Saccharomyces cerevisiae S288C: one gene and its partners. The gene in region 1 interacts genetically with each later gene. Each region holds a gene or a part of one and is shown on either strand. Other genes may lie near its edges.

The links.
Region 2: mutations in AAH1 (region 1) and PDR1 together harm fitness more than expected from each alone (negative genetic interaction), as found in Saccharomyces cerevisiae (2 studies listed by BioGRID).
Region 3: of AAH1 (region 1) and DOA4, changing one suppresses a phenotype caused by changing the other (phenotypic suppression), as found in Saccharomyces cerevisiae (2 studies listed by BioGRID, with this or other methods).
Region 4: mutations in AAH1 (region 1) and BZZ1 together harm fitness more than expected from each alone (negative genetic interaction), as found in Saccharomyces cerevisiae (2 studies listed by BioGRID).

The regions. Positions count from the first base shown.
Region 1 is NC_001146.8:356,180-363,230, forward strand, and holds AAH1 (adenine deaminase), read left to right. Parts: upstream 1-3,416; coding exon 3,417-4,460; downstream 4,461-7,051. Other genes in the region: YNL143C (uncharacterized protein), read right to left, coding at 615-1,007; ammonium permease MEP2, read left to right, coding at 1,274-2,773; YNL140C (uncharacterized protein), read right to left, coding at 4,738-5,307; THO2 (Tho2p), read right to left, coding at 4,745-7,051. UniProt on the Saccharomyces cerevisiae protein: Catalyzes the hydrolytic deamination of adenine to hypoxanthine. Plays an important role in the purine salvage pathway and in nitrogen catabolism.
Region 2 is NC_001139.9:465,571-475,054, reverse strand, and holds PDR1 (drug-responsive transcription factor PDR1), read left to right. Parts: upstream 1-2,756; coding exon 2,757-5,963; downstream 5,964-9,484. Other genes in the region: SCL1 (proteasome core particle subunit alpha 1), read left to right, coding at 1-566; ERG4 (delta(24(24(1)))-sterol reductase), read right to left, coding at 779-2,200; PUF4 (Puf4p), read right to left, coding at 6,248-8,914. UniProt on the Saccharomyces cerevisiae protein: Positive regulator of proteins involved in permeability. PDR1 and PDR3 jointly control the transcription level of both SNQ2 and PDR5.
Region 3 is NC_001136.10:582,596-591,304, reverse strand, and holds DOA4 (ubiquitin-specific protease DOA4), read left to right. Parts: upstream 1-3,585; coding exon 3,586-6,366; downstream 6,367-8,709. Other genes in the region: IPT1 (inositolphosphotransferase), read left to right, coding at 1-1,544; PAA1 (polyamine acetyltransferase), read left to right, coding at 1,903-2,478; FMP16 (Fmp16p), read left to right, coding at 2,926-3,207; DOS2 (Dos2p), read right to left, coding at 6,660-7,592; OCA6 (protein-tyrosine-phosphatase), read left to right, coding at 7,840-8,514. UniProt on the Saccharomyces cerevisiae protein: Ubiquitin thioesterase that acts at the late endosome/prevacuolar compartment to recover ubiquitin from ubiquitinated membrane proteins en route to the vacuole. Also removes ubiquitin from soluble proteins targeted to proteasomes.
Region 4 is NC_001140.6:334,864-340,484, forward strand, and holds BZZ1 (Bzz1p), read left to right. Parts: upstream 1-3,219; coding exon 3,220-5,121; downstream 5,122-5,621. Other genes in the region: YHR112C (putative cystathionine beta-lyase), read right to left, coding at 1-800; APE4 (aspartyl aminopeptidase), read left to right, coding at 1,474-2,946; ubiquitin-conjugating protein DMA1, read right to left, coding at 5,246-5,621. UniProt on the Saccharomyces cerevisiae protein: Plays a role in endocytosis and trafficking to the vacuole. Functions with type I myosins to restore polarity of the actin cytoskeleton after NaCl stress.

The DNA of each region.
Region 1 (7,051 bases):
ACTGTTGTTTTGTTTTACATCTTTTCATTTTTCATACATTTTATTGAGGCGTAGAAATGAAATGGGTAGAGCGGCACATGGATGTAACAATCTCCATTATTCACGTCGAGCCGATACCCGCTTCTGTTGACGCTCTGTTAAGCATAGAACCTACGAGATTTGTGCTAAAGGACGTTGGCAAGGAAGAAAACTATTGTTGATGACAGGATTTATAGCAGTAAATATTTTTTTCTTTTTTGCGAAATTATGTACGTTTCTCATCCAAGAAGAATCCTGTTAATATTTAAATTTCTGCTAGTCATTATCATATTGCAATGGCTTTTATTAGTGAAAGCCACTGTCAACAGTAACTGAGCTACTCCCTCCAATGTTGTCTAACTCTATGCTCTTTTTGGCGTCTGAATGAGCCATAACGAGGGAAATAACTGTATCAGGAATACTAACAGAATACAGATTGGATGCACTGGTGCTGGTGAGTTTTCTTTTTCTGATATTATTGGATAATATTTTCAGCTATAGACTATCATCATTCAGCATTGGTCACGCTAAAATATACGTTCCATGCATACGTGATAGCCTACTCGGTTGTCAACTTCATTTTATAGGCTGCCTGGTCACCGATTACCGCCCCGCTCAGCAGGACGGTTTAAGCTTCTGTTCTTGGAAACGACGTAATTCATGTCGGCCATCGAAATCATTCCTGGCTTTGTAATAGTCATAATGAACAAGGAATGCTGTCTTGGGTTTTTTTCCCTTTGCGAATACCCGGGCTGCCAAAATAGAAAAGGAACAAATGGTAGGTCTTTAAGATAAGAAAGATAAGATAAGACATCTTTTTTTTTTTTTTTTTTTTTTTTTTTTTTTTCCGATAACAAAGAAGAATCCTTCGGTCTCTTCTTACTGCTGTTACTGCTTATCAAGAGTGTCTGGTAATAGTCAAAGCCAGATAAGATAAGAAATGTAAAATCGACTATTTCCCTCGTAAAAAGCTTCAATTGCTCACGCATCGACGAATACTAAGCGGCGTGAAGACCCTGTGCCTTATCAATGAAGTATTCAGTACAAGAGGTGTTCATTCCGAGCCACTTTTCTGCACCATATATAAGCAGTAGTTACACATGTGCTAACCAAACATCAGTGGGTAGTAATCATTCGTGCTTTCACGTCCTTTCAAATTAAATATCCTTCTTAAATAATAAGTCTGCACAGAGCTTTGAAAGAAGTTTAGTTTTGTAATATATCATACTTAATATATTACAATACAATATCAACAATGTCTTACAATTTTACAGGTACGCCTACAGGCGAAGGAACGGGTGGTAACTCGTTGACAACAGATTTGAATACACAATTTGACTTGGCCAACATGGGATGGATCGGTGTGGCTTCAGCAGGTGTGTGGATTATGGTCCCAGGTATCGGTTTATTATATTCTGGTTTATCCAGGAAAAAGCATGCTTTATCCTTGCTTTGGGCCTCGATGATGGCTTCCGCCGTGTGTATTTTCCAATGGTTTTTCTGGGGATACTCATTAGCTTTCTCACACAACACTAGAGGTAACGGTTTTATTGGTACCTTGGAATTCTTTGGGTTTCGTAACGTTTTAGGAGCCCCATCTAGTGTCAGTTCTCTTCCCGATATACTGTTTGCCGTTTACCAAGGTATGTTTGCCGCAGTCACCGGTGCCCTAATGCTAGGTGGTGCCTGCGAGAGGGCAAGGTTGTTTCCTATGATGGTGTTCTTGTTTTTATGGATGACTATTGTTTATTGTCCTATTGCATGCTGGGTCTGGAATGCCGAGGGTTGGTTGGTCAAATTGGGTAGCTTGGACTATGCAGGTGGTTTATGTGTCCATTTAACATCTGGACATGGTGGTCTAGTTTACGCTTTGATACTGGGTAAGCGTAATGACCCTGTTACACGTAAAGGGATGCCCAAGTACAAACCACATTCCGTCACCTCGGTGGTTTTAGGCACAGTGTTCTTATGGTTTGGTTGGATGTTCTTTAACGGAGGCTCTGCAGGTAATGCAACTATACGAGCATGGTACTCTATTATGTCCACAAACTTAGCTGCTGCTTGCGGTGGCTTGACATGGATGGTTATCGATTATTTCAGATGCGGAAGAAAGTGGACTACAGTTGGTTTGTGTTCAGGTATCATCGCTGGCCTAGTGGGTATCACCCCAGCCGCCGGGTTCGTGCCAATCTGGTCAGCCGTTGTCATTGGTGTGGTTACTGGTGCAGGATGTAACCTTGCTGTTGACTTAAAGAGTCTATTGCGCATCGATGATGGTCTAGATTGTTACTCTATCCATGGTGTGGGTGGTTGTATTGGTTCTGTATTAACTGGTATCTTTGCTGCAGACTATGTAAATGCCACTGCAGGCTCTTACATTAGTCCAATTGATGGTGGCTGGATCAATCATCACTATAAACAAGTTGGTTATCAATTAGCAGGTATATGCGCTGCACTAGCCTGGACTGTTACTGTCACATCTATCTTGCTTCTAACTATGAATGCCATTCCATTTTTAAAACTAAGATTAAGTGCTGATGAGGAAGAATTAGGTACCGACGCTGCTCAAATTGGTGAATTTACATACGAGGAATCCACTGCTTACATCCCAGAACCAATCAGATCTAAAACATCGGCACAAATGCCACCTCCTCATGAAAACATTGATGATAAGATTGTGGGTAACACAGACGCAGAAAAGAATTCTACGCCTTCCGACGCTTCTTCTACTAAGAACACTGACCATATAGTATAATGATATACTCAAGCAGACTATGATTTTATGTTTAATCTTTATGTAACGCTTCATTTAATAATTTTATTTTTAATATTTGATATATTTTCTTTTTTTGATAACTCCGAATGATGAGGGGAGACGTTAGTATTACTTCTCTTGTCTTATGTTATTATCATAATCGATGACTTTAACTGTGCACACTATAATATACAGCATCTCCAGAGCATGATAGCAAGAAATTTTCTTTAAGAAAGCCTCTATATACCCTATATATGCTGTTAACAGGAAAAGAGCACAAGGTTTATTTTGCTTTGGTTGCAAATTTTCATCGCTTATAGAAGACATATTTTGATGTAAAAACCTTGATATACTTCCTTTTTGCCTTATCTTTCACTGTTTCCATCTCTTTTCTTTTTTTTTTTTTTTTTTTTTTTTTTTTTTTTTTTTTTTTTTGAATCTTAAAATTCTCGAAACTGCACTGAAATGGCGCAGGAAACTGACCTCATCGCATGCCAACGAAGATTGAAAAAAATTAACATATAAGGCTTATGAAAGCGACATCTTTTGCAAATGAATAATTGACAAGCAGGCCTGTGTATTTATAGTTATTTTGAAATAATAACTACCATTAGAACTAACAAAAGAAAAGAAAAAAAAAATAATGGTTTCTGTGGAGTTTTTACAGGAGTTACCAAAATGTGAGCATCACTTGCATTTGGAAGGTACTCTAGAACCTGACCTATTGTTCCCATTAGCTAAAAGAAACGATATAATTCTACCTGAAGGTTTTCCTAAATCGGTCGAGGAATTAAACGAAAAGTATAAGAAGTTTCGTGATCTGCAGGATTTCTTAGATTACTATTATATTGGTACTAATGTCTTGATTAGTGAACAAGATTTCTTTGATTTGGCGTGGGCCTATTTTAAAAAAGTTCACAAACAAGGCTTGGTCCATGCTGAAGTGTTTTACGACCCTCAGTCACATACATCTAGGGGCATCTCCATAGAAACAGTCACTAAAGGTTTCCAAAGAGCTTGTGACAAAGCCTTCTCTGAATTTGGTATTACATCCAAGCTAATTATGTGTCTGTTAAGACACATTGAACCAGAGGAATGTTTGAAAACTATCGAAGAAGCTACCCCATTTATTAAAGATGGTACTATCTCTGCCTTAGGATTAGATTCTGCTGAGAAACCATTTCCCCCACATTTATTTGTTGAATGTTACGGAAAGGCCGCCTCATTGAATAAAGATTTAAAACTAACTGCACACGCAGGTGAAGAAGGCCCCGCTCAATTCGTCTCGGATGCTTTAGACTTGTTGCAAGTAACAAGAATCGATCACGGTATCAACAGTCAATACGACGAGGAGTTATTGGATAGGTTGTCGCGCGACCAGACCATGCTAACTATTTGTCCTCTCTCCAACGTGAAGCTACAAGTAGTCCAATCCGTTTCAGAGTTACCACTACAAAAGTTTCTTGACAGAGATGTTCCATTTTCTTTAAATTCTGATGACCCCGCCTATTTTGGTGGTTATATCTTAGATGTCTACACTCAAGTTTCGAAAGATTTCCCACACTGGGACCATGAAACATGGGGTCGTATCGCTAAGAACGCCATTAAAGGTTCATGGTGTGACGATAAAAGAAAGAACGGTTTGTTAAGTAGAGTGGACGAAGTAGTCACTAAATATTCGCATTAGTACCATTTGCAAGACATTGTATAATATTTTTGTTGAAAGTCTTTTTCGATTCATAAGCGCTTTTTTGTAAATTTATAACACTATGTGTATGCACAAATTTCATTCGATGTTTTTGATGCTTTTTACATCCCCTTTTGTGTGGGAAAGGATACAATAGAATTCTACAAACTTATTTGAGTGATTATACGAGCATTAGCTGGACCTTTTGTATTTCACGAGATTACAATTCGGGAACTATCAAAGTACACGTTAAAATTCAGCTCGGGTATGTTAAGTACTAGTAATTACCTCTGGTACCTACTGACGTAATTCCCACCCTTGGGACCTTGCGGAAGCGCCTGAGTATTGCTCTTTCTATTTCCGTTGTACCTTTGATTTTCATTGGCTCTATGGGCAGCACCGCTATCTCGTGTATTTCTATAATCTTGCGTTTGAAATTTGTTTCTAATTGTTTCATCCTTCTTGAATCTTTTATTCGGCTTTTCTTCATTTTCTGAAGGCGAGTCGCGCTTGTAAGATGAAGCTTGGTAAGGGTTGGCTTTGCTGCTGTCTTTGCCCTCTTGAAATGGCTTTTCAGGAAACCGTAATTGTGAACGTTGTGAACTGTTTTTCTTATACTCTTCACGTAAGCGGTTATCCCTTTGATCAAAACCATCGCCCCTGTCCGGACCTGTGGGTCTAAGTGCCCTACTTCTATCATTATATGTTTTACTTTTACTAGGTCTAGTTGGTAGTTCTGACCTTTTATGTGCATAACTACTGATTGGCTTAATATTTTTGGGTGCAGAACGATCATTGCTTGGTCCTCTATAGTTGGAACTACCATAACCATCTTTGCCTCCAGCATTTCCGCTGTACCTACTTGATCTTTTGGTATATTCAGGAGCAGCAGCTTCAGAATATGAGCTAGTCGTATCTGGGTATGGCTCGCGCGAGATATTTTTAATATACCTTTTAAGCGAATCAATTTTTTCTGCAAAATCTGGATTTTGAGGATTTTGAATGAGTGTCCTAAAGTACCTTTCGAATATTTCCAAAGTCGAATTTCTAAAGTCGAATATTGGCATATTTTGCTTAGATAATTTCCTTAAATTCCGAGTTTCATCGTCGTTCTCTACTAAGGAAATTGCCTTTTGTAAATGGTTCGTGGCCAAATAATGGTTTATATCGTCGACGTGCCTGGTGACTTTGGAATATGACCATTGACTACTAGAAGGTTTTGTTGGGATTACAGGCTCATTACGAGAATAAGTATATCTATCCTTGCTATTTAATCCAGCACTGCCGCTTGCAACACTTTTGGGTGGATCATTTTGAAGTCTTTGCGACTTATTAAGCTCTAACTGCTTTCTTAAAGCTACTTGCTTTTGTTCATTTTGGCAAGCTGTTTCATAATTTTTGATCTCTTCTAATTCCATTTCACGTATTCTCTTTTGTTCAGCTTCCTCTTCAGTTAAGGTGCAGAATTCGTCCAATTCTAAAGCGTCCTTCAAACGCGCTTTCAAATGGCCAATCAATGCGCTGCTTGGTAGTTTAATATCCTCCCTTTCTTCATTTATCAAGTTTTCCTCTAAAGTTGTGTAAACCAACTGGATATGAGCTTTCACTACAGGGAAGACACTAGTGACGTGCTTCATGAATTCAATACCGTTTCTAATTGACATGTAATTTTTTTCGGATAAAAGGTCAATGACTTGCTCGGTAATTACTGAATGCCATTCATAAAGCTTTCGAGAAGCTTGGTCGTTGAAATCGCCATTTAATCTCATTTTTTCAAGCTTTTTAAGAACGTCAGTGAAAAACAGACCTAAATTGCCTGCTTCAGAGCTAGTACAACAGAACAGCAACGTTTTTAAAATATTTGATGTAATACAAGTATTCAATATCGACATCAAATTTTCTGTCCTAAAAGCCATAAAGATAAAAAACGAAGAGAAGAGAGCATCTGAAGGAGAAAATAAAACCCTTGGCACAACACAATTCTGCAAGAATATCTTAATTTGATCTTCCCCGCAGTCTTTGTTCCAGACATTTGATTTTTCAGATATAAATTCTGAAGTTTTCTTGAAGGCTCTTTGATGCGAAATTCCAGTAACCAAAATATCCTTGATTTGATTCTGAATCAGGTGTTTTTTTCTATTTGACATGTGGCCCGTGTTTTCTCCGGATAGTGCATTCTTACGCTCGTCATATAGTGATTTATCGAAATGGATATCGTATAATGAAAGTCTCCAAAAAGTAGTGAAAAGATCCTTTGATATTTTCGTTAAATCAACATCGCTAAACTCTGCACCTTCAATTAATTCATCAATAGAAAAATTCTCATTTGAGTTCAATTGATTATCCAAGTAGTCTCTCCATATGTGGAAAGTCCACGGTGTCGATAAATGGAACCTATTATTCAATTCTACAAATGGGAGAACATTCTCTTCAAATGCTTTCCCTTTCAAACAATGTTTAATTAACTCAATAAACGACCATAACAATGTATTCATTTCATCGCATCTAGTGGATAAAATTTTGTAATGAGAATTTTGCGTATTTGCTTTCAGGTTTAAAGTGTATAACAGGAGAATAATCTCAGAAATAGC
Region 2 (9,484 bases), on another chromosome or scaffold:
ATCCAACTACTGTTTCGTATATTTTTTGTATTTCAAGAACAATTGGTATGGTAGTGAACGGACCAATACCGGATGCAAGAAATGCGGCCCTAAGAGCCAAGGCTGAGGCTGCAGAATTCCGTTATAAATATGGTTATGATATGCCATGCGATGTATTGGCTAAGAGAATGGCTAACCTTTCCCAAATCTATACTCAAAGAGCATATATGAGACCATTAGGTGTTATACTCACATTTGTTTCGGTAGATGAAGAATTGGGTCCCTCCATTTACAAAACTGACCCTGCAGGTTATTACGTTGGCTACAAAGCTACTGCGACAGGACCAAAACAACAGGAGATCACAACAAACTTAGAAAACCATTTCAAAAAGAGTAAAATCGACCATATTAATGAAGAATCATGGGAGAAGGTGGTAGAATTTGCTATTACTCATATGATTGACGCACTGGGTACCGAATTTTCAAAGAATGACTTGGAAGTCGGTGTCGCTACAAAGGACAAATTCTTTACCTTGAGTGCTGAGAACATCGAAGAAAGGCTAGTAGCAATTGCTGAACAAGATTAACATACTTCCTGCCACAACATAATGTGAAATCACACGCGTCAACACTCAATATATGTATGGACACGTTTCATTTAGGATTTATTTTATAGGAAAAAGTAGATCAAGTAATAGAAAATCGAATCTTTTCAAGCCCTTTTGTCGCGTAAATACATCAATACTTTTATATACAAACTGTAAAATAAGTTAATGAAGTGGATAGAAAAAGAAAATAACTAGAAAACATAAGGAATAAAGACGTAAGGGCAATGTTTACAATACTCATCCCAATCTTTTCCGTACTTTCTCTTACATTTTGCTTGGTCTCTGAAGGCTCTGTGAATCAGGACAACAAGGAAGAATACTGGGAAAAACCATGGGAACACCGAGTTGAACCCGCAAGACAAGGCCCAAACGAGAGATTGAGTCCAATCGGCAGTGTAGTGAATTTTTCTAGCCAAAGTGTACCAACCATCAATCAATAGGTACGATCCATTGGAGGTAACCATATACTTTGGATTCTTCAAAATTTGGTATGGCAAAAATGGGAAAGTCTTCCTACCTGTCTTGTCACCAGACATTTGCTTTCTGAAGGCATTTTTCTGAGCATTTGCCGTGTCAAAGAAGTAGTAGGCGCATAATAGAACAACGTACAGCGAAACATTGTACAGTGTAGACCAGTGATATTCAGATGGGTCATGGTAGTACAAATACAACGTACAATGACAGTAAGTGTATGGGACACCGGCAATATTCCAGAAGATCAGCATAAATCCAAACTTTTCGTAAGCCATGTCCCAGGTTGGAACAATCAATTCTTCACCTTTAGCACATGCGTTCGCGTACAACCAATGAGCTAACATGACAACCCCCAATTGTGGTGTCACATAGCCGTAAGTCTCCCACTGCTTCAAACAGGCACCCAAAGTGATAAAGTAAAGGGTGAACCAAGGTAATCTAACCTCGAAAAACATCTTCAAGTCCAAAATCCCCCACCTAGGGTTTAGTGGAGCTCCCATGAAGAAATCATATAGATGGTTTCCTGTCATTCTATGATAGTCATGTGAGATAAATAAAGTCCATAAGTACAATATGATGGAGAAGGCAAACCCTGAAATAATGGCACATGTCATGATCCTCCCAAAACGGTCAATAATGACATACAATCTAAAAAGATTGGTAAAGTGCAAAACCAAGACCAAAGTGGTAGTTACATACAAGGTCCACATGGCATTACAAAAGTAAGGCAATTGTTTTCCCTTCAAATGAGACAATGGTTGACCTTTTGTCCAAATCCCGGGCAACGTATAGTAGAAAATGATCTGAAACACCCAAAATGTTAAGAAAATAGTCCAGTCATACTTTTCTGGGATACCGTTCTCCAAGACTAACTGGTATAGGTGCTTGATAAAGTGCATCCACGATTCACCAGCCTTGGGTAGGGCAACCTTACCGTGATAAAATTCCGCACAAATCCACATATAGTACATTAGCAGTGGAAACCCGATCAGCATACCAATAACACCAGTAGTCCCACCAAACTCATATTCGATTTCATTTGGCTTCAGCCATTTACCCTGAGGCAGGAAATTAACCGGTTGCTTGGACTTTTTCTCCTCTCCCTGCACCTGCAGCTTCTCACTATTATCCTTTGCCATAGCGATGCTAATCTATGTACACTACGTAAATATCCGTATCTGCCTATCTACATAACTGAACTACATTCCTACGTTATTACCACTGTTTGGTAATTTTTCCTCGAGGATATATAATTCTGCTTTTCCATAGTAACGCCAAACGATCGCGTAATACCGGCAATTACGGGATGCACGAAAATAGCGCCAAGGAACGAAAAAGAAATGAGTCTCGTTTAGTTATTAAACGAGAAGAAACGAGCCCTGATTTACATTCTCAGGGTCCAATAGGGCTTTGTTGGAAACAGACGCATACCCTAAATGGAGTTTCTTTTCTTGTTCAAGACCTAATGAGTGGCAATAAGAGGCGCTAATTAAAGCTCTTCAAAACAACCTTATTCGCCTATTACACATGATCAGCCACTCTTTCATTGTCAACAATAGCATGATAGCAGGACCATAGCGGCCATATAGACATTACCAGGAGTGAGTTTTGGCTAAAAAAAGACAATTTGCACATCACTTGCTAACTATTCATCTCAGCCAAGAATATACAGAAAAGAATCCAAGAAACTGGAAGATGCGAGGCTTGACACCTAAGAACGGTGTACATATTGAGACGGGTCCGGATACAGAATCGTCCGCGGACTCCAGCAACTTTTCTACAGGTTTCAGCGGCAAGATTCGTAAGCCAAGGTCGAAAGTAAGTAAAGCGTGCGATAACTGTAGAAAAAGAAAGATAAAATGTAATGGGAAGTTTCCCTGCGCAAGCTGTGAGATATATTCATGTGAGTGCACGTTCAGCACTAGACAAGGTGGCGCTCGAATAAAAAACCTTCACAAGACGAGTTTGGAAGGTACAACCGTACAAGTCAAAGAGGAAACAGATTCCAGTTCGACTTCTTTTTCTAATCCTCAGCGATGTACAGACGGGCCATGCGCAGTGGAACAACCAACGAAATTTTTTGAGAATTTCAAGCTAGGTGGTCGTAGTAGTGGTGATAATAGCGGAAGTGATGGGAAGAATGACGACGATGTGAATAGAAACGGTTTTTATGAAGACGATAGCGAATCACAGGCAACTTTGACATCTCTACAAACCACTCTGAAAAATTTGAAGGAGATGGCTCATTTAGGTACACATGTAACCTCAGCCATCGAGAGCATTGAACTTCAGATAAGTGACTTGCTTAAGCGATGGGAACCCAAAGTGAGGACCAAAGAATTAGCAACAACGAAATTTTACCCTAATAAATCAATAGAAACTCAATTGATGAAAAACAAATACTGTGATGTGGTACATTTGACAAGATATGCCGCTTGGTCAAACAATAAGAAGGACCAAGATACTTCTAGTCAACCTTTGATCGACGAAATCTTTGGTTTGTACTCTCCTTTCCAATTTTTGTCACTTCAAGGTATTGGTAAATGTTTCCAAAATTATAGATCCAAATCCAAATGCGAGATTTTTCCCAGGACCGCCAAGGAAACCATATACATCATGTTAAGGTTTTTCGACGTTTGTTTTCATCACATCAACCAAGGCTGTGTCTCCATAGCTAATCCCCTGGAAAACTACCTACAGAAAATGAATCTTTTACCTTCAACCCCATCTTCGATATCATCTGCAGGGAGCCCGAATACAGCACACACAAAATCGCATGTTGCGTTAGTGATAAATCACTTACCGCAGCCCTTTGTGAGAAATATAACCGGAATAAGTAATTCTGAGCTACTAAGCGAAATGAATAATGATATCAGCATGTTTGGCATTTTATTGAAGATGTTGGATATGCATAAAAATTCCTACCAGAACTTCCTAATGGAAATCACATCTAACCCCTCCGTGGCTAAAAACACGCAGTCAATTGATGTCTTGCAGGAATTCATCCATTATTGTCAAGCTGGAGAGGCGCTAATCGCCTTATGTTACAGCTATTATAATTCTACATTATACAACTACGTGGACTTCACATGCGACATAACGCATTTAGAGCAACTTCTATACTTTTTGGATCTGCTATTTTGGCTATCGGAAATATACGGTTTTGAAAAAGTCTTGAACGTAGCAGTTCATTTTGTTTCAAGAGTTGGTTTATCAAGGTGGGAATTTTACGTGGGTCTTGATGAAAACTTTGCTGAAAGAAGAAGAAATCTCTGGTGGAAAGCTTTCTATTTCGAGAAAACTTTAGCCTCTAAACTTGGCTATCCTTCGAACATTGATGACTCCAAAATCAATTGTTTATTACCTAAGAATTTTCGAGATGTTGGGTTCTTGGATAATAGAGATTTTATCGAGAACGTCCACTTAGTTCGCAGGAGCGAAGCTTTTGACAACATGTGCATATCCGACTTAAAATACTATGGCGAATTAGCTGTCTTACAAATAGTCAGCCATTTCTCATCATCTGTTTTATTCAATGAAAAATTCACGTCAATTAGGAATACATCAAAACCATCTGTTGTTAGAGAGAAACTACTCTTCGAGGTACTCGAGATTTTTAACGAAACAGAAATGAAATATGATGCTATCAAAGAGCAAACTGGAAAATTGTTCGATATTGCATTCTCTAAAGATAGTACTGAACTCAAAGTTTCAAGAGAGGATAAGATTATGGCTTCAAAATTTGTTCTATTTTACGAGCACCATTTCTGCAGAATGGTTAACGAATCTGATAATATTGTCGCCAGATTATGCGTGCACAGAAGGCCCTCAATACTAATTGAAAACTTGAAAATATACCTTCACAAGATTTACAAATCATGGACCGATATGAACAAAATCTTATTAGACTTTGACAACGATTATTCCGTATACCGTTCGTTCGCCCATTATTCTATCAGTTGCATTATTTTGGTATCACAAGCATTCTCAGTGGCCGAATTCATTAAAGTAAATGACGTTGTGAATATGATTAGAGTCTTCAAAAGATTTTTGGATATAAAAATTTTTTCCGAAAATGAGACCAATGAGCATGTCTTCAACAGCCAAAGCTTTAAAGACTATACAAGAGCTTTTTCTTTCCTGACAATCGTCACTCGTATCATGCTTTTGGCATACGGAGAGTCCTCTAGCACCAACCTCGATGTTATCTCCAAATATATTGATGAGAATGCGCCAGATTTAAAAGGTATAATAGAACTTGTCTTGGATACAAACTCTTGCGCTTATCGATTTTTATTAGAACCTGTTCAGAAGTCAGGATTCCATTTAACGGTCTCACAAATGTTGAAAAATAGAAAGTTTCAGGAACCACTAATGTCAAATGAAGATAATAAGCAGATGAAGCATAATTCGGGAAAAAATTTGAATCCGGATCTCCCAAGTCTTAAGACGGGCACTTCATGCTTACTAAATGGCATTGAATCGCCTCAATTGCCATTCAATGGTCGCTCAGCACCTTCCCCAGTGAGAAACAACTCACTACCGGAGTTTGCACAATTGCCTTCATTTAGGTCATTATCCGTGTCTGATATGATCAATCCCGATTACGCGCAACCAACAAATGGGCAAAATAATACGCAAGTCCAATCTAATAAACCAATCAATGCTCAGCAGCAAATACCCACTTCAGTACAAGTACCATTTATGAACACAAATGAAATCAATAACAACAACAACAACAACAACAACAATAAAAACAATATTAACAATATTAACAACAACAACAGTAACAATTTTTCTGCAACTAGTTTTAATTTGGGGACACTAGATGAATTTGTTAATAACGGTGATCTTGAGGACCTCTACAGTATCCTGTGGAGCGACGTTTATCCAGATAGTTAAACGTATACGTTTGTATAGATAAAAGTTCTCAAAAACTTCCTTCCTTTTTTTTTTCTTTTGAGTTTACTTATTTAAATAAGAACATTCTGTTTTCTAGGGCATCTCCTTCTCTTATTTCTTCAACACTATTTACCAGTATACCATAAAGTGAAAATTCCTATTTTTTTTGCTTTGGATATTCATTTGATCCTCAACGAAAAAAAAAATGATGTATTTTAGTATTGTACAAAAGATATTATATGAGGCTAACGTAAAAAAAGCTAAACTGAGGATATATGTATCAACTATGAATCTAAATGTAACATTCCGATGATTCTTTTACCATGAGGTGTATTTCTTATGGGGCCCACCAGTAAAGGCGCCACAATCTCTGATAGTCTTTTATAGAGATAGTCATTTTGCTTATGAGAAATGTCTAATGCTGTCTGTAAAACGTAATTTCCGTAGCTATCATTCAACAATGATTGAATACCCGTCTCGCCACCATTATTTAAAATTTCCAGAATCATTGGCTCCGAAACAATAGCTGTCTTCAAGATTTTTTCAATCACATTTGATCCAAATTTATGGATAGAAAGTTCGATGGCTCTTGGTTTCAACAGGTGGACAATTTTATGCGTATAATCATATTTGTTCTTCTCAGCCTCTTTGGTAATTATATATTGCACCACATAGTTGCCAAATGGATCCAAAGTTAATTTATCAACAAGGGCTAGCAACTTATCACACAGATTGTCACATTGTTCTGTAGTCCCATGATCTAGACAACGTTGCAAAACGCAACACCCGTGTCTATGAGTAGCAATATCAATACAGCTATCAGAGATTGCGTCAAAGATAAACTGGAAGTTTTCAGGCTTCAACCTTTGCAAACATTTTTGAATAACATGATTACCATTTAAATCCTTACTCAACTGGACAGTATAAGGGCGTAAAGAATCAACAACAATCTGTGCTTCTTCATCTGTTTTGATGCATTCAATGAGTTTTTGTAATGCCCTAGTACCATGAGGGTTTAAGGAAATTTCGACAAAATGAGGGGAAGATATTTTTGTGAGTACGATTCTTTGTTCTGTGGTAACCTCTTCCAATAGCTTCTGGATCAAATAATTACCGAATGAATCAGTCATCAATTCAACCGTATAATCCTTAGTTTCTTCAAAAATTGCGTCCGCCGCCTTACTGCCGAGAATATCCAACTGCTTTTGCAGAAAACGACAACCATGTTGGTCTTTACACAATGAGTGAATACTTCCGATATATTGGTCTAAAACTGCGTCCGCAAATCTCGACGACTCCTCAATTTTACGTTGTTTTTCCGCGCTGTTGCTGTTGGTAGCATTACTGTTATTATTATTATTGTTATTATTATTATTATTATTATTGTTATTATAGTAGCCATGATAACTGTTTTTCATATTTTTCATTTTACCAACGTTAGAACGACCTGTGTCTTTATTGTTGTAATTAGAATTACCAATGTTGTCATTGTCATTATGACTTGACATGCTATTGTTATTACGACCATGATGTTTATTATTGGCGCTATTCATTAACGGCATATGATTTTGAGCCAACAAATGAGGCGGAACCATTGCGTTGAAGGGAGGTGGAGTGCTATAAAGCCAGGGAGGAGGGGGGGTGTTTTGCTGGGGAGGTAATATGTGGAAAGGTTGCATTGATGGCCCAAGATTAGGATTTATTAAATCCATCCTAACATTTGGACCCGCCTTGTCGTTATCGGTGGTGGGCTTACCACCATCATTCTTCATATCTGAAAAGGCAACAGAATTTGAACTAGGGTTTAAAACTGGTGCAAGATGAATTGGCGATTGGGTTAGAGGAATTGGAGAATTTGCATTTAGTGAATGACTCGTAGGATTTAAAATCGGAGAGAAAGGTTGAAATTGCGCGCCCATTTCATAAGAATTAGGAAAAGGTGATCTAATACCATAGATAGGGGAGGATATATTATGTGGGTGGCCTGGCATAATAGGATTTGGTTGAAGTAAAGGTCCCCCATATGGATATGCTGCACCATAAGTTGTAGGACTCTCTTTTTTAGCTGGTGCAGTTTTATTAATCAAATCCTCCTTCGAGGTTTCTATTTTGAAATCGGATAATTTCTCAGAAACACTATTGGTTGGGGGTATAAATGACGTTGAGGAGGGAGTATTATCAAAAGATATGGATTGAGTTCTGGTTTTTGCAGTATTGTTAGCTCCTACAGACGGTTTCTTAGCCTTAGAAAAATTCTGCATGTCAGATTGGAAGTCCTTTGACAAGGTTACATTGTTGGCCGCATTGATAAGGTCAGTTGGTGATAAAGCATGAAAAGTTTGTCTTCTGAACGAACTAGCCTTATTATTAGACTCCCTGCCCTTAGATGGTAGGCTTTCTTGTAGAGTAGCGGTGGTTTCTTCAATGGCTACAGATGCTGATCCTGGTACGTTTGAATGAGTCCATAACGGATCAGCCGATGCGATTGGCAATACCTTCATTGAATTGTCATTTATCAATGGGTTTAGATTTTGTCCACCTTGAGTTGCTACCGCAGCACCCGAAGACAGCATTTGAAATGGAAGTGAGTCATTCTTGAATAACATTGGTGGACCGCCTGCATTCAAGGGCGAGCTACTCAATGGTGCTGTTGGATCATTAAAATCAGGGGGCGGAAAAAATGGACAAGGATTATGAGGAACCTGCATCATTTGAGAGTAGGGCATGAAGCCCATTCCACCCATCATTTGTGGATGTGGAAACATTTGCGACGGAGGGCCATTAGCGAATTGAGAATCTTGAGAAACTTTATTCGCAAATGCATTAGAGGTGGCGTTTTCCTCTGGATCATCTAGTTGCAACTGCTCTAAAGCAGAATTGACTGTTTCTGAAACGACAGGGTCTACTGATGGTACATCATCGATTTCTTCTTTCAAACCTTTTGTAGACATAACGTAGGTCCACTTAAAAATGTTACAGCGCTTAGTTCTCTCTTTCTTAAAAGATATCGAGGACAAAGAAACAGTAAGAACGGAAAATGAACAGAGACTCTTAAAAGAACCTAAAGAATAAGCGAAAATAAAATATGAAAAGAGAACTAGTGGACAATATCAACAGGAATTTTAAGTGTACTAAAAATAAATCGTCTGGAATAGTGTACAAAAACGAATAATATTAATGACGGCTCAAATCCTAACGTTGGAAACTAAAATACAATAAAAATAATGTACAATGTAATATACGGAAGAAAGTTTTTTTTCTGTTTCAACAAAAAAAAAAACTATTCAAAAAAAAGACGTGAGGTACTGTTTGCTGTTCACCTTCGGAGAGAGATAACCAACCGATATTCTCTTTGAGTCTGAGTGATTTGTTAAACAAGGTGCAACGAATAAGAATATAACTATACTATCTACTATATTGATCATTATTTTTTATTCTCTGGAGGACCCCAGAACAAAAAAAATATAGAAAAAAAACAATCGTCAAGAGTGACAAATACATGAGTAATAAGAAAAGGCGTC
Region 3 (8,709 bases), on another chromosome or scaffold:
TGTATAATGCAAGTTTGAACCAACGTAATCTAATAAGCCTGCCGTTCAACTTCATGCTTAATTTTGCGCCAGTGTTTATTTGGCTGTCTATATTCAAGCGCGCTGGTCTGATACCCATAAGGCTCAGACCTGACATTCATAGCAAGTTTGCTTTTTTTGCTGATCAATTCCTCTTTGGGGACTATTGGCATGAACTTACTGTACAATTGCCCGATAATACTTCGAAGCTATTTTTCTGGTCATTCATATCATCTTCTGCATTTCTCTTAGTATTTCTGATATGTATTCCCTTTGCCATTTGGTACTACATCTATTACATTAAGCACGTTAACTATAATCTGTTAGAGTGGTTCGCAAATATTTTTCATTACCCCTGCAAGCGCAAGCAGCGGCCGATCCAAAAGAGATTTCGGACAATTTTCATACCGTTTGCCTTGCCCCTGTTTACATTTGTTATACTCAACATTGATCATTTCTTTGCTTACCAGTCGGATGCAAACTTTACTAAGACCAAGGATTTACTGGCTTGGTTCTCCTATGTCATCCTGCACTTGACAGCTCCAATTTTAACAGCTGTATACTTATACGTCTTCCAACCACCGGGGACTTTAAAATGCTTTAGTTTTGCCCTAGGATTACAAAATATAGCGGGGGTCCTTACCCATCTGCTTGTTCCAATGGCCTCCCCATGGTTTACTCATCTGTACGGTATTGATGACACCGAACATGTTAATTACACCCAGGAAGGGTTTGCTGCCGGTTTGATAAGAGTAGATAGCCATTTGGGTACTCATTTGAACACTAAAGGATTTCACATGTCTCCTATTGTGTTTGGTGCTGTTCCTTCACTACACTCCGCCATTGCATTTCAATGTTTCTTGTTTTTGGTTTCAAGGTCCACCAGCTTAAAACACAGATTTTCCAATGCTGGAGGTTTCACAATGCACAATAATGATTCTTCCACTTTCAAGTTGAGTGAGGAAGACAGCGAAGATGAAGGTGACAATAGCATACCGCCCACGATTGGCCCTAACGACTTAGAGATGGAACCATTGGGTACCGTTGAGCCTGTAGATATTTCAAATGAGCGGTCCTCCTCCCCTTCATCTTCATTCACCGTATCCAGTAATGAAAGAAGCACCGGCGGCGGCGACGGCAGCATTATTAACAGCAATGGCAATAAGAAACCTCTCCAGTTTGTCCATTTATATGATGAAGACACGAACTTCACAAACAAATGGATTTTTAAAATAGTCAACGATGGGTTTATACCAAAATTCTGGGCTATCCTATATATAATACTACAATGGTGGGCTACCATGTATCTGGACCACCATTATAGATTTGACCTTTTCGTTGGTGTTTTATATGCAATGACAAGTTTCATCATCATAAACTGGTTTGTTTTACAACCAAAAGTTTTAAAAAAGTGGATTCATATAAGGTTAGGCGACAAAGTGGATACAAGAAACGAAGCTCGCACTTTTGGCATGAGAGTATTTTGTGGCACCAAGATGGAATGGTTTTTTGATCCGCTTGCATAGACTATAGAATGTCATAATGTAATAAAAGTAATTTCGGATAATTTAAATAATATAGATTGGCTTTTTTTTTAATAATATATTATTAGTGTTATGCATGCTTTTTTTTTTTATTTTAATAAAGGGTTAACCTGAAATCGGCTTGCTTTTGGTTTTCTGTCAATTCATAAAAAGAATAGTTTTGAACGGGCAAAAATGGAAAAGCAATGGAAGAACGACGAACATCCCACTGGACAAGAAGCGGGAGCAAGTGTTTGTAAGAAAAATTTACAACAAACTAGATTAAGAAGAATTGGACATCAGAATACTTTTCTCGGAGAAAAAATAACACCAATACATTACGATTAAATAAAAAGTTAAAATGGCCTCCTCAAGTAGCACGCTACCGCTTCATATGTATATTAGACCCTTAATCATTGAAGATTTAAAGCAGATTTTGAACTTGGAAAGCCAAGGTTTCCCACCAAACGAAAGAGCTTCAGAAGAAATTATCAGCTTTCGTTTGATCAATTGTCCAGAGCTATGTTCAGGTCTTTTCATCAGAGAGATCGAGGGCAAAGAAGTTAAAAAGGAGACACTAATTGGTCATATTATGGGTACTAAGATACCTCATGAATACATTACTATCGAAAGCATGGGCAAATTACAAGTGGAATCGAGTAATCATATTGGTATTCACTCTGTAGTAATCAAGCCAGAATACCAGAAAAAAAACCTGGCTACTTTACTTTTAACTGACTACATTCAGAAATTGAGTAATCAGGAAATTGGTAACAAAATTGTCCTTATTGCTCACGAGCCATTGATACCATTTTATGAAAGAGTTGGTTTCAAGATCATTGCTGAGAACACCAATGTTGCTAAGGACAAAAACTTCGCAGAACAGAAATGGATCGATATGGAGAGAGAACTAATTAAGGAAGAATACGACAACTAGATCATTAGTTTAACGCACTTTACAAATGTCTAATTATAAATACTACATATAATTTTTGTATATTTTAAAATTGCCAAGTATAATTAAAATCATTACTACTGGTGCTACCCTACATCCTTGACCGTACTGAGATATCACTGCTTAATTCCGGTGATTGGGTTCTTTTCAGTTCTTGGAGAGATATACGTACTACCTTCCTTTTTTTTTAAGGATACCTTTACTGTAAAGGGTTTGTTCCTGTATCAACCCCTTCTTCCTGTACAGAATCTAAGGGAACCGTAAAAGCACATAAGTATATAAAGGTCCCAAGATTTGATTAGGTAGATATGGCCTTTGAGTTGGCTCTTAGTTTTTTTTGGCCTTGAATACTTGTTCCTACAATACTCCAACAGCAGTTGAAGCCAGACCGCAGTATCACATATATAATACACAGGAATATATTTGATAATGTTGAGAACCACTTTTTTGCGCACTCCAAGACAATTGATGCGTAAATCGCCAAGGGCGTCTTTCTCAATCGTCACTAGGGCCGCCTTTCCTCACCTAAAGAACAATCAAGATGAAGCTGAGAAAAAAGAACAGGGTTTGTTTGATAGCAACAAGAAGAGGTTGGACACTTTGGAACACGGCAAGAATCCAGATTATAAGCAACCTGGAATGGAAGATTTGAAAAAAAAGGGAGATGACGCTAGAATCGAACAAAACAGGCCAGATGACGGTGTTTATTAAGAAGCACTTGGTACAAACTCGTATATGCATGTAGTTTCTGTCATACACATATCTATATTCCTTCCCCCCTGGTCCTATCGTATTTAGTCATATCATATCATTTATTGATATCTATATAAGTGCAAAACTATAACCATTATTTATTTGCTTTCCACATTGTTTTACTTCATTTGCTTCAATATCGTTCATTACGTTTAGCGAATGGCTAAGGCCCTTGTATTAGTAAAAGCCTAGAAAAAAAAAAAAAAAAAAAAAAAAGGATATGATGTTATATGATACGTGTAGTTCATGTATTTATCTTCGGTAGTATAGGGCAGATTTAAGACTGAGTGTGCACGCTTCCAAAGTTTTTTTTACTATTTGATACATGCTTAAGTTATGGAGCAGAATATTATTAGTACCATAAGGGATGAGTGTATTCGTCACCGGTCGAAGTACCTTACGATAGCACAACTAACCGCTATTGCAGAGGCTAAAATTAACGAATTCATCATAACTGGTAAGGCAAAAGATCAAGATTTGAGCAGTCTTCTAGATAAATGCATCGATATTTTATCTATTTACAAGAAGAACTCGAAAGATATCAAAAATATTATATCGTGCAAAAATAAGGGTGCAATGATTAGTTCAAATTCCGTAATGATTATTCAATTAAATTATGTTTACTACAAGGTAATTCACATTATTGTAACAACCAATATTCCTCATTTAAGTGAATTCGCCAAGATTAAATTACATAAGAGCACGAGTGATGAGGGCAACGGTAATAACAACAATAATGAATTTCAACTCATGAACATTTACAACACTTTGCTGGAAACCTTATTAAAAGATGAAAACATTGCAAAAATAAAAAGTTTCATTAAGTCTTCCATAAAACAAACAAAATTGAACCATGAGCAAGAAGAATGTAACCTGATGAGAACGGGTTCCTATATCACTTCCAATCAATTAAACTCCCTAATAAGTTCATCAGCAAATTCTGCTTCCTCCCAAATGGAGATACTACTGATAGATATACGATCAAGGTTGGAATTCAACAAGTCACATATTGATACAAAAAATATTATATGCCTGGAGCCTATTTCTTTTAAAATGTCATATTCAGATCATGATTTGGAGAAAAAATCATTAATTACTTCTCCTAATAGTGAGATTAAAATGTTTCAAAGTAGAAATCTTTTCAAGTTTATCATTCTCTATACAGACGCAAACGAATACAATGTTAAACAGCAGTCTGTCCTGTTGGACATTCTGGTGAATCATTCCTTTGAAAAACCAATATCCGATGACTTTACCAAAATTTTCATTCTGGAATCTGGTTTTCCAGGTTGGCTTAAGTCAAATTATGGGAGGCAAGTATCATCATCTTTTCCATCAAATAACAATATTAAAGATGATAGTGTTTATATTAATGGTAACACTTCTGGCCTAAGTTTACAACATTTACCTAAGATGTCTCCCAGTATAAGACATTCAATGGACGACTCTATGAAAGAAATGCTAGTTGCGCCTACTCCATTAAATCATCTTCAACAACAGCAACAACAGCAATCAGACAATGATCATGTGCTAAAAAGATCTTCAAGTTTCAAAAAATTATTCTCAAATTATACGTCTCCTAATCCGAAGAATTCAAATTCAAACTTATATTCTATATCTTCGTTGTCCATATCTAGTTCACCATCGCCTTTACCTCTACATTCGCCTGACCCAGTTAAGGGCAATTCATTGCCAATCAATTATCCGGAAACGCCACATCTTTGGAAAAACAGTGAGACAGATTTTATGACAAATCAAAGAGAACAGTTGAATCACAACTCTTTTGCTCACATAGCTCCTATCAACACGAAGGCCATCACTTCTCCATCAAGAACTGCCACACCGAAGTTACAACGCTTCCCGCAAACAATTAGTATGAACCTTAATATGAACTCCAATGGACACAGTTCTGCCACCTCTACCATTCAACCTTCGTGTCTATCCTTGTCTAATAATGACTCTTTAGATCATACAGATGTTACACCAACTTCTTCTCATAATTATGACCTTGATTTCGCGGTTGGTTTGGAAAATCTAGGAAATTCGTGTTACATGAACTGTATCATTCAGTGTATCTTAGGTACACACGAATTAACCCAAATCTTTTTGGACGATTCATATGCTAAACACATCAATATTAATAGTAAGTTGGGATCGAAAGGTATTCTGGCAAAATATTTTGCAAGGTTGGTTCATATGATGTATAAGGAACAGGTTGATGGTTCAAAGAAAATTTCCATATCACCGATAAAATTTAAATTGGCATGTGGATCTGTTAACTCATTATTTAAGACTGCATCCCAACAGGACTGCCAAGAGTTTTGCCAATTCCTTCTAGATGGTCTTCATGAAGACTTGAACCAATGCGGTTCAAACCCACCTTTGAAGGAGCTTTCTCAAGAAGCTGAGGCGAGAAGAGAAAAACTGTCTTTGCGAATTGCCTCGTCAATTGAGTGGGAACGATTCTTGACTACTGATTTCAGTGTTATTGTCGACTTATTTCAGGGACAATACGCCTCACGACTAAAATGTAAAGTCTGTAGTCATACCTCGACAACATACCAACCTTTTACGGTGCTGTCAATCCCTATTCCTAAAAAAAATTCCCGAAATAATATTACCATTGAAGATTGTTTCAGAGAGTTCACCAAATGTGAGAACTTGGAAGTGGATGAGCAATGGTTGTGCCCACATTGTGAAAAAAGGCAGCCCTCCACGAAACAATTGACAATAACGAGATTACCGAGGAATCTGATAGTCCATTTAAAGAGATTTGATAATTTATTAAACAAAAATAATGACTTCGTCATATACCCTTTTTTGTTGGACTTGACTCCATTTTGGGCCAATGATTTTGACGGGGTTTTTCCTCCAGGTGTTAATGACGATGAACTACCAATAAGGGGACAAATACCACCTTTTAAGTATGAATTATATGGTGTAGCATGCCACTTTGGTACTTTGTATGGTGGTCATTATACAGCCTATGTGAAAAAGGGATTAAAGAAGGGATGGCTATATTTTGATGATACCAAATATAAACCTGTCAAAAACAAAGCCGATGCAATTAACTCTAATGCATACGTTTTGTTTTATCACCGCGTCTACGGTGTTTGATTCATTTGAATAAATAACTGAAAACCGTTGTCTATACACTTTTTTTCCCGTTCAACATGGCATATCATTATTTCCATCTAAGGTCAAAGTAAAAAACCCTAAATACAAATGATTTATTTTAACGGTAACAAACGAACTTTTTTTTAGAAGGTGTAAAGATGAGATCACGCCCAGATTTTGTCTTCCTCCTGTGCATCTCTTGGATTGATGATTTTCCTTTCTACCATAATACGTCATGAAAAGTATGTAAATATTTATAGCATTACATATATCTTTTATATGAAAAAAATCACTCATTCCCAGTCATCATCGTCGTCGTCGTCCTTGCTCTCATCCTTGTTGGCGAGGCCAACATGGTCACTAACATCTTTCAATCCCTCTTGAGACACAGCAACTTTCGTCTCCCCTTTAGATTTGTTGTCAGCTACTGCTTCTACTTTGTCATCATCTTCTTCTTCTTCTTCGTCATCCCACTCAACTTCTTTTTCCTCCGTTTCCTTTTCCTTTTTGGACAATATTTCTTTCCTTTTACTTTCTTTATCTAGAATTTTGTTTCTTTGTAAGAAATAGATGTGCCAGAAATCTTTATAGCTGATTTTATGGGGTACGATGTCGTTCATTAATTTGGAGATATCTTTGTCGCCCTGTAAAATAGAACATATCTCCTCAGTTTTTTCATCCACGTCAAACGGGTCCAGTTGCAAATCCATTTTATTGTCTAAATAAACCGATTTATCTTTAGATAATGTCCTTAGTTCGGCTTCTGTTCTATTTCCACCCACAGCAATTTCATTTTCTTTCGAATTCTCATCCTTGTCATTAGAGTCATTTTCTGCAGCATTATCGAAGCTACTGAAGCCAGACCAAAAATTCTTAGTTTTCATTTTGCTCCAATATGACTGGGCTAGACTTTCCACGCTGTGAATATTCTCGTCTAGTTTCTTCAAATACTTTTGTGCAGTCTCTGTAGTTTCATTGCTAATTGGCAAGTTAATTTCAATTCCGTCATCTTTCTCGATTACTAACTTTTTGAATGCACTTGTAGTCTTTTCATATCGTTTATTGACTTCCTCTTCTAACTTTTGGAAGGCCTCATTTGTTTTGTCATCTCGGCTCTGAAGTTCGTTATTTTCAGTGTTTTCTGTTGATCCAGTTTCCTTGGTATGAGAGTTGCTTATTTTATCATCTTCGATACAAGCTACTTGTTCTTCATAAAAGAATTCCATTTTATCCTAAAACGTCGAAGCAATGGAGCTCACTAGCTGTACCCTTATGTTGTGTTCTTTTTTTGTTGCATGACTTCTGCTAAGTGCTTTTTATCATTAATCACCGCTATTTGATGTAAGGCCAAAAAAAATGCGAAAGAAAAAAAGAGACTCTGTTAAGAAGGAAAGGAGTACCAATATAAACTATGGGTTCACAATTGCTATGAATACCCAGTTCACACATCTAGAATAAGCTATATGTATCAAAATGACACTAGTGACTCCGTTACAATTTTCGACTGTACAGCCAAATTTATATAGAGGATCTTACCCACGAGAAATCAATCTCCCATTCCTGAGAACCCTTAGATTGAAATACATATTATCTTTGACACCAGAACCTTTGAGCACTGATCCTCTAATGGTAAAGTTTTGTGAAGAAAATAACATTAAGACAATTCATATAAAATGTCAAAGTGAAAGAAAGGCAGACAAGACCAAACCCAAGATTAAAAGGAAAAAGAAAACAGTTCCTATTGAATACGATGTTGTAGTACGATGCGTTAAATTTCTGATTGATAAAGGGCATTACCCCTGTTATATGCACTGTACGAATGGTGAATTGATAATATCTCTCGTAGTAGCATGTATGAGAAAGTTTTCATATTGGAGTACGGTATCCATACTAAATGAGTTTTTGGTGTATAATTCCAGCATCAATATTCATGAAAGAAATTTCATTGAAAACTTTAACTCTGAAATCGAAGTTGACGATCTGGATATAAAGGATAAAGTTCCCTGGATTACCGTGCGATATATTGCAAGGACAGCCACAGAATCAAAAGATGAGTTGCGTGTTGATGATGCTAATGCGTCTGAAAAAGTTGCAAGAGTAAGTAGCGTGTCAAATTCTTTGCCAAAACTAAAATTTCATAGTATGTAAAATTCAGGGATAAATTCATATAATATTTTGTAAAGACAGAAGCTTCAGGGTTAAGTCTTAGCCGGGCCCTCCAGCATTGATAATCATTTTTTTCAATATCAAATGCCATTGAAAAGTCCAACGAAAATTACATCGACTTTACAAAAGAGACGAGCCGGTCACATTCTAGTATTGGCGAAGATTGGAAGCCATTTA
Region 4 (5,621 bases), on another chromosome or scaffold:
GACAAAAATCTAACTAATTTCGTAGCATTTTCTGATTGTTTGGTTATTCTCATTTCGTAGGTTCTCAGGGATCGCAACAACATGAAACTTTCCAAATTTGCCACGTTTGTACCCAAGTAGATTCTGTCGTCTTTTAGTTGTCGGGAAGTTGCTTCCTCTTTGACTACAAGGACGCCACTTAACAAGTCAGAATGACCACCAAAGTACTTAGTAGCAGAGTATAGGACAATATCGGCTCCGAAATTCCATGCGTATTGCAATGGAGGAGATGCGAATGTGGAATCCACTATAAGCAGGGCGCCTTTTGCATGAGCTCTGCGGGCCAAACTCTCGATATCAGAAGAGGTACCATATGGGTTTACAGGAGATTCCAGATGGACAATGTCACCTTCAGAAGCACATTTTTCAATATCTTCCAAGGGGTGTTGCTCAATGCCGTAATTACGGGTCAATATGTTAGCAATTGCTCGAACACCATGGTAGCTCTGTCCGATAAAGATCTTCTTAGGGTTGTAATGTACCATTGCCGCATAGAACGCAGCTAACCCTGAAGAATAAATGACAGCATAACCATCGAGGATCTCTGAGAAGATACTCTCTAATCTGGTGCTATTTGGATGCGCTAGCCGTGAATATACGGGCTTCTTCTCCATAAAGTCCAAGTTTTCACGCTCTGTCCATGGAATTAGGTCGTCATCGTCGTAACGGAAGGTTGTAGAGACATTAATTGGGGGCGCCACGTCAGTAACCCTGTTATCTTTATCATCGCCATGAATCAAAGCTGTTGACAAGTCCACCATCTTACGTACTCTTTTCGTGCAATCTTTCCTTTATAGCATGTACTACAACATTTGAAGAGATGGAGGGATTGCAACGATCTATTGTTGCGCAATATGCTTATATATCGCGTGTTGCATAAACCCATCAAGTGATCGCACTCTGAATTAAACACCGCAAAAAAATAGAAACCACAGTTTCACCATTTGACAAGAACTCACAAGATATCCTTGAGGTCTATCAGTAAGTGGTTAATCCCGTACCAAAGCGTATGTGAAGGACTTCAGAAACAGTTATTTCACGTACTACAATTATTACAACTGGCCCTCTTTCCCTTATATATACTGTAAATATTGCGACTGACATGGAGACCACATAATCACACGTGATAAATAGTCCCGTTCAACTTACGTATATAATGTGATTCAGTGTTCCGCCAAGGAGTAAACTCCTTTAGTTTAAGGTCTGCTTATTTTTGCAACAGAAGCCTGCCTTGGCTTTCGAGATACTAGTTTCTGGCTACGGTTTTCTATTCCTTATCATTTTAGCCTTATCATACTTGCTGAAAAGTTGCAGATATCTCCACGCTCTTAAATGAAAGAAAAAAGGGCGTTTTCCTCCTGTATGAATGAAAGAAAAAATTCATGTTATGTGAGCAAGTAGGTAAAAAGAAAGAATAAAAGGTTCAGCTTTTCTATGTTCAGGATACAACTGAGAACTATGTCCAGCAAAACATGCAAGAGTGATTACCCAAAGGAGTTTGTCAGTTTCTTAAATAGCTCACACTCTCCTTACCATACAGTTCATAACATCAAAAAGCATCTGGTGTCAAATGGCTTCAAAGAGTTGAGCGAACGTGACTCGTGGGCTGGCCACGTCGCACAAAAAGGAAAGTACTTTGTGACAAGAAATGGCTCTTCCATTATTGCGTTTGCTGTTGGTGGAAAGTGGGAGCCTGGTAATCCAATTGCCATTACGGGTGCTCACACCGACTCCCCCGCATTAAGGATTAAGCCTATTTCTAAAAGAGTCAGTGAGAAGTATTTACAAGTGGGCGTGGAAACTTATGGTGGCGCTATTTGGCATTCATGGTTTGATAAGGATTTGGGCGTTGCCGGAAGAGTTTTCGTAAAGGATGCGAAAACTGGCAAATCCATTGCTAGATTGGTGGATTTGAATAGACCTCTGTTAAAGATTCCTACTTTGGCTATTCATCTGGACAGAGACGTAAATCAAAAATTCGAGTTTAATAGAGAAACTCAACTGTTGCCGATTGGTGGTCTGCAAGAAGACAAAACTGAAGCGAAAACTGAAAAGGAAATTAATAACGGTGAGTTTACCTCCATAAAAACGATAGTACAGAGGCATCACGCAGAACTTTTGGGGCTAATAGCCAAAGAACTCGCCATTGATACAATTGAAGACATTGAAGACTTCGAATTGATCCTTTATGATCATAATGCATCCACTCTAGGTGGGTTCAACGATGAGTTTGTCTTCTCTGGTCGATTGGATAATTTGACATCTTGTTTCACATCAATGCACGGTTTAACGTTGGCGGCTGACACAGAAATTGACCGAGAATCAGGCATTAGATTGATGGCATGCTTTGATCATGAGGAGATTGGCTCATCCTCCGCCCAAGGGGCAGATTCTAACTTCTTGCCTAATATATTGGAAAGGTTGTCCATCCTGAAGGGGGACGGTTCTGATCAAACTAAACCTTTGTTTCACTCGGCAATATTGGAAACTTCCGCTAAGTCGTTTTTCCTTTCATCTGATGTTGCTCATGCAGTTCATCCAAACTATGCAAACAAATACGAAAGCCAACACAAACCCTTATTGGGTGGTGGTCCCGTAATCAAGATTAACGCGAATCAACGTTACATGACCAATTCACCAGGGTTGGTCTTGGTGAAAAGACTAGCAGAGGCTGCTAAAGTCCCTTTGCAATTGTTTGTCGTAGCTAACGACTCACCATGCGGTTCTACCATCGGCCCCATTTTGGCCTCAAAGACAGGTATTAGAACTCTAGACTTGGGTAATCCTGTGTTGAGTATGCATTCGATTAGAGAGACCGGTGGCTCTGCAGACCTGGAGTTCCAAATCAAGTTATTTAAGGAATTTTTTGAACGCTACACTTCCATAGAATCTGAAATTGTTGTCTAAACTGCAATTGTTAGATGATTCATAATCCGGTATATTTATTGCCCTCTTTTGTATTTTACAAATAGTAAATATATATAATATCTTGTGATCTACATAAGCTTTCGCGGGGTCTTCAGAAAAATAAAAAGTTTTTAAAAGAATATACGCTTAGCAAAGGAATAGACAGATTTAGTTTGTACGCAAATAGTTTTTGAAGAAGGTAGCAGATTGATCAATTTTGTATGAGCGGAAATCTATCCTTAAACGCCAACTACTACATTACTTGCAATAAAAATGAGTGCAGATTTATCGATTGGTAATGAAATTAAAGATTCATTTAAGGAAACCCATAAATGGGTCCAAAATAACTTAAAATGGTTGAAGGACATTGAGCAATTTTATCGGGAAAGGGCTAAGTTAGAAAAAGACTACAGCGAGAGATTATCTCGCTTATCAGCAGAGTACTTTAATAAGAAGTCTTCGACCTCAGTTCCTATCTCGGTAGGTGACACACCTACTACCACGCCAGGGTCCATTGAAGCTGCAGGTGTGGTTGCATGGAATGAAATTCTATCTCAGACTGATATGATTTCCAAGGATCATGATCAGTTATCAACCGACTTTGAAAATCATGTAGCAAATCAATTGAGTGGATTATTCACTAAACTTGATATGACTTTGAGCAAGATAAATGGATTTAACAATGACATGGTTAATAAAAAGGATAACATTTACCACGAACTGGAAAAAGCGAAGAAGGACTATGATGAAGCCTGTTCCACTATGGAAATGGCAAGAAATAGGTATACCAAGGCATCTAATGATAGAAATAAAAAGAAGTTGGATGAAAAAGAAATGGAGATGAACAAGTGTAAAAATGAATATTTAATCAAGATCAACCAGGCAAATAGAACTAAGGATAAATACTATTTTCAAGATGTTCCTGAAGTGCTAGATCTTCTACAAGACGTAAATGAGGCAAAGACCCTTTTCTTAAATGATCTGTGGTTGAAGGCGGCTTCTGTCGAGAACGATCTGGGTGCAAATGTCAGCAAAAGACTCCAGGCGGCAAATTCTGTTGTCAAGCAGAATAAACCCTCTTTAAACACGGCCATCTTTATCAAGCACAATCTAAAGAATTGGAAAGAACCACAAGACTTTGTCTATAAGCCATCTCCAGTATGGCATGATGATGAAAAATTTGCTGTTCCCTCGTCGTTGGAAGTTGAAGACTTGAGAATAAAACTGGCAAAAGCAGAAAATGATTACAATTCATTGCAAGATAAAACTCAAAATGAGTTATCCAAACTGTCTACTTTGAACAAGATAAAGCACGAAATGAAAACTAATGAAGATAATATCAATGCCACTAAGTTTTATGATACACTAAAGGAATACTTAAATGTCGTTTCACCCTTTACCTCACACGAAACATTAAAATTGCAAGCCGAAGTTCAAATCGAAAGTATTCAGAATAATGTTCCTGAAGAATACGATTTATCCACAGACAATATTGATCTTTCCAAAACAAAGAAGAAATCCGGGATATTCAGTAAGTTCAAACACAACATCCTGAACGTCGACTCGAAGCCTTCGAGTGGAGGGAGCACTGGTAATGGCAACGGAGGACCCTTGCATATAACAAGTCTCTTCAACACATCAAGAAGAACTAGGCTAGGCTCTGCCCCTAACAACGCTGGTGAAGATTCAGATAATAATTCTATACGCACCACTAGTACCAACAATACAAAAAAGACCACACAAAATTCCAGTGATGACGGCAAGAATAAAGTGTTGTATGCATACGTACAAAAGGATGATGACGAAATCACCATTACGCCAGGAGACAAAATCTCTTTGGTTGCACGCGATACGGGTTCTGGATGGACTAAGATAAATAACGACACCACTGGGGAAACCGGCCTTGTACCCACCACATATATTCGCATATCTAGCGCGGCTACAGTTAAAGCAAATGATAGAGGCCCTGCACCAGAAGTACCACCACCAAGAAGGAGTACACTACCTGTTAGGACGATGGAGGCCATATATGCCTACGAAGCACAGGGAGATGATGAGATTTCAATTGATCCGGGGGACATAATTACTGTTATCAGAGGCGATGACGGTAGCGGGTGGACATATGGTGAATGTGACGGATTGAAAGGTCTATTTCCTACAAGTTACTGTAAATGAACGAAGGAATGAACTGAAACTATTAAATATTTTCCCTGGCCGCCACTTTTTTGAGAGGTATGACGACTCTATGTTATATATATATATATATATATATATATATATAGCACAAAATTTCATGTGATCAATCTACTAGGCGAACACCTAAATTGTTATTTATTTCCATGTCTATATCCATTTCAATGTCTGGCTCATCTTCGTCCTCGTTTTCGAATTCGGATTCAGATTCGGATTCCAAGGTAGTCTCCAAATCACAGTTTGTCCTACAGTTCGGACACATGAATTGAGGATAATTCATAATAACCAATCTTCTTACACAATGAAAATGCCAACTATGGGCACATGGTGATATAAAAATGGCTTGGCAAGGTTTTATTTTGTTTAGACAAATGGAACAGTCTTCTTGTTCTAAACCAGTAGTTAGTTTCTGTAGATTTTTTATTCGGCTCAAGGCTTCTTTATTAAATGCATTGGCCTTTAATTTCCAAGACTTGTTCAAT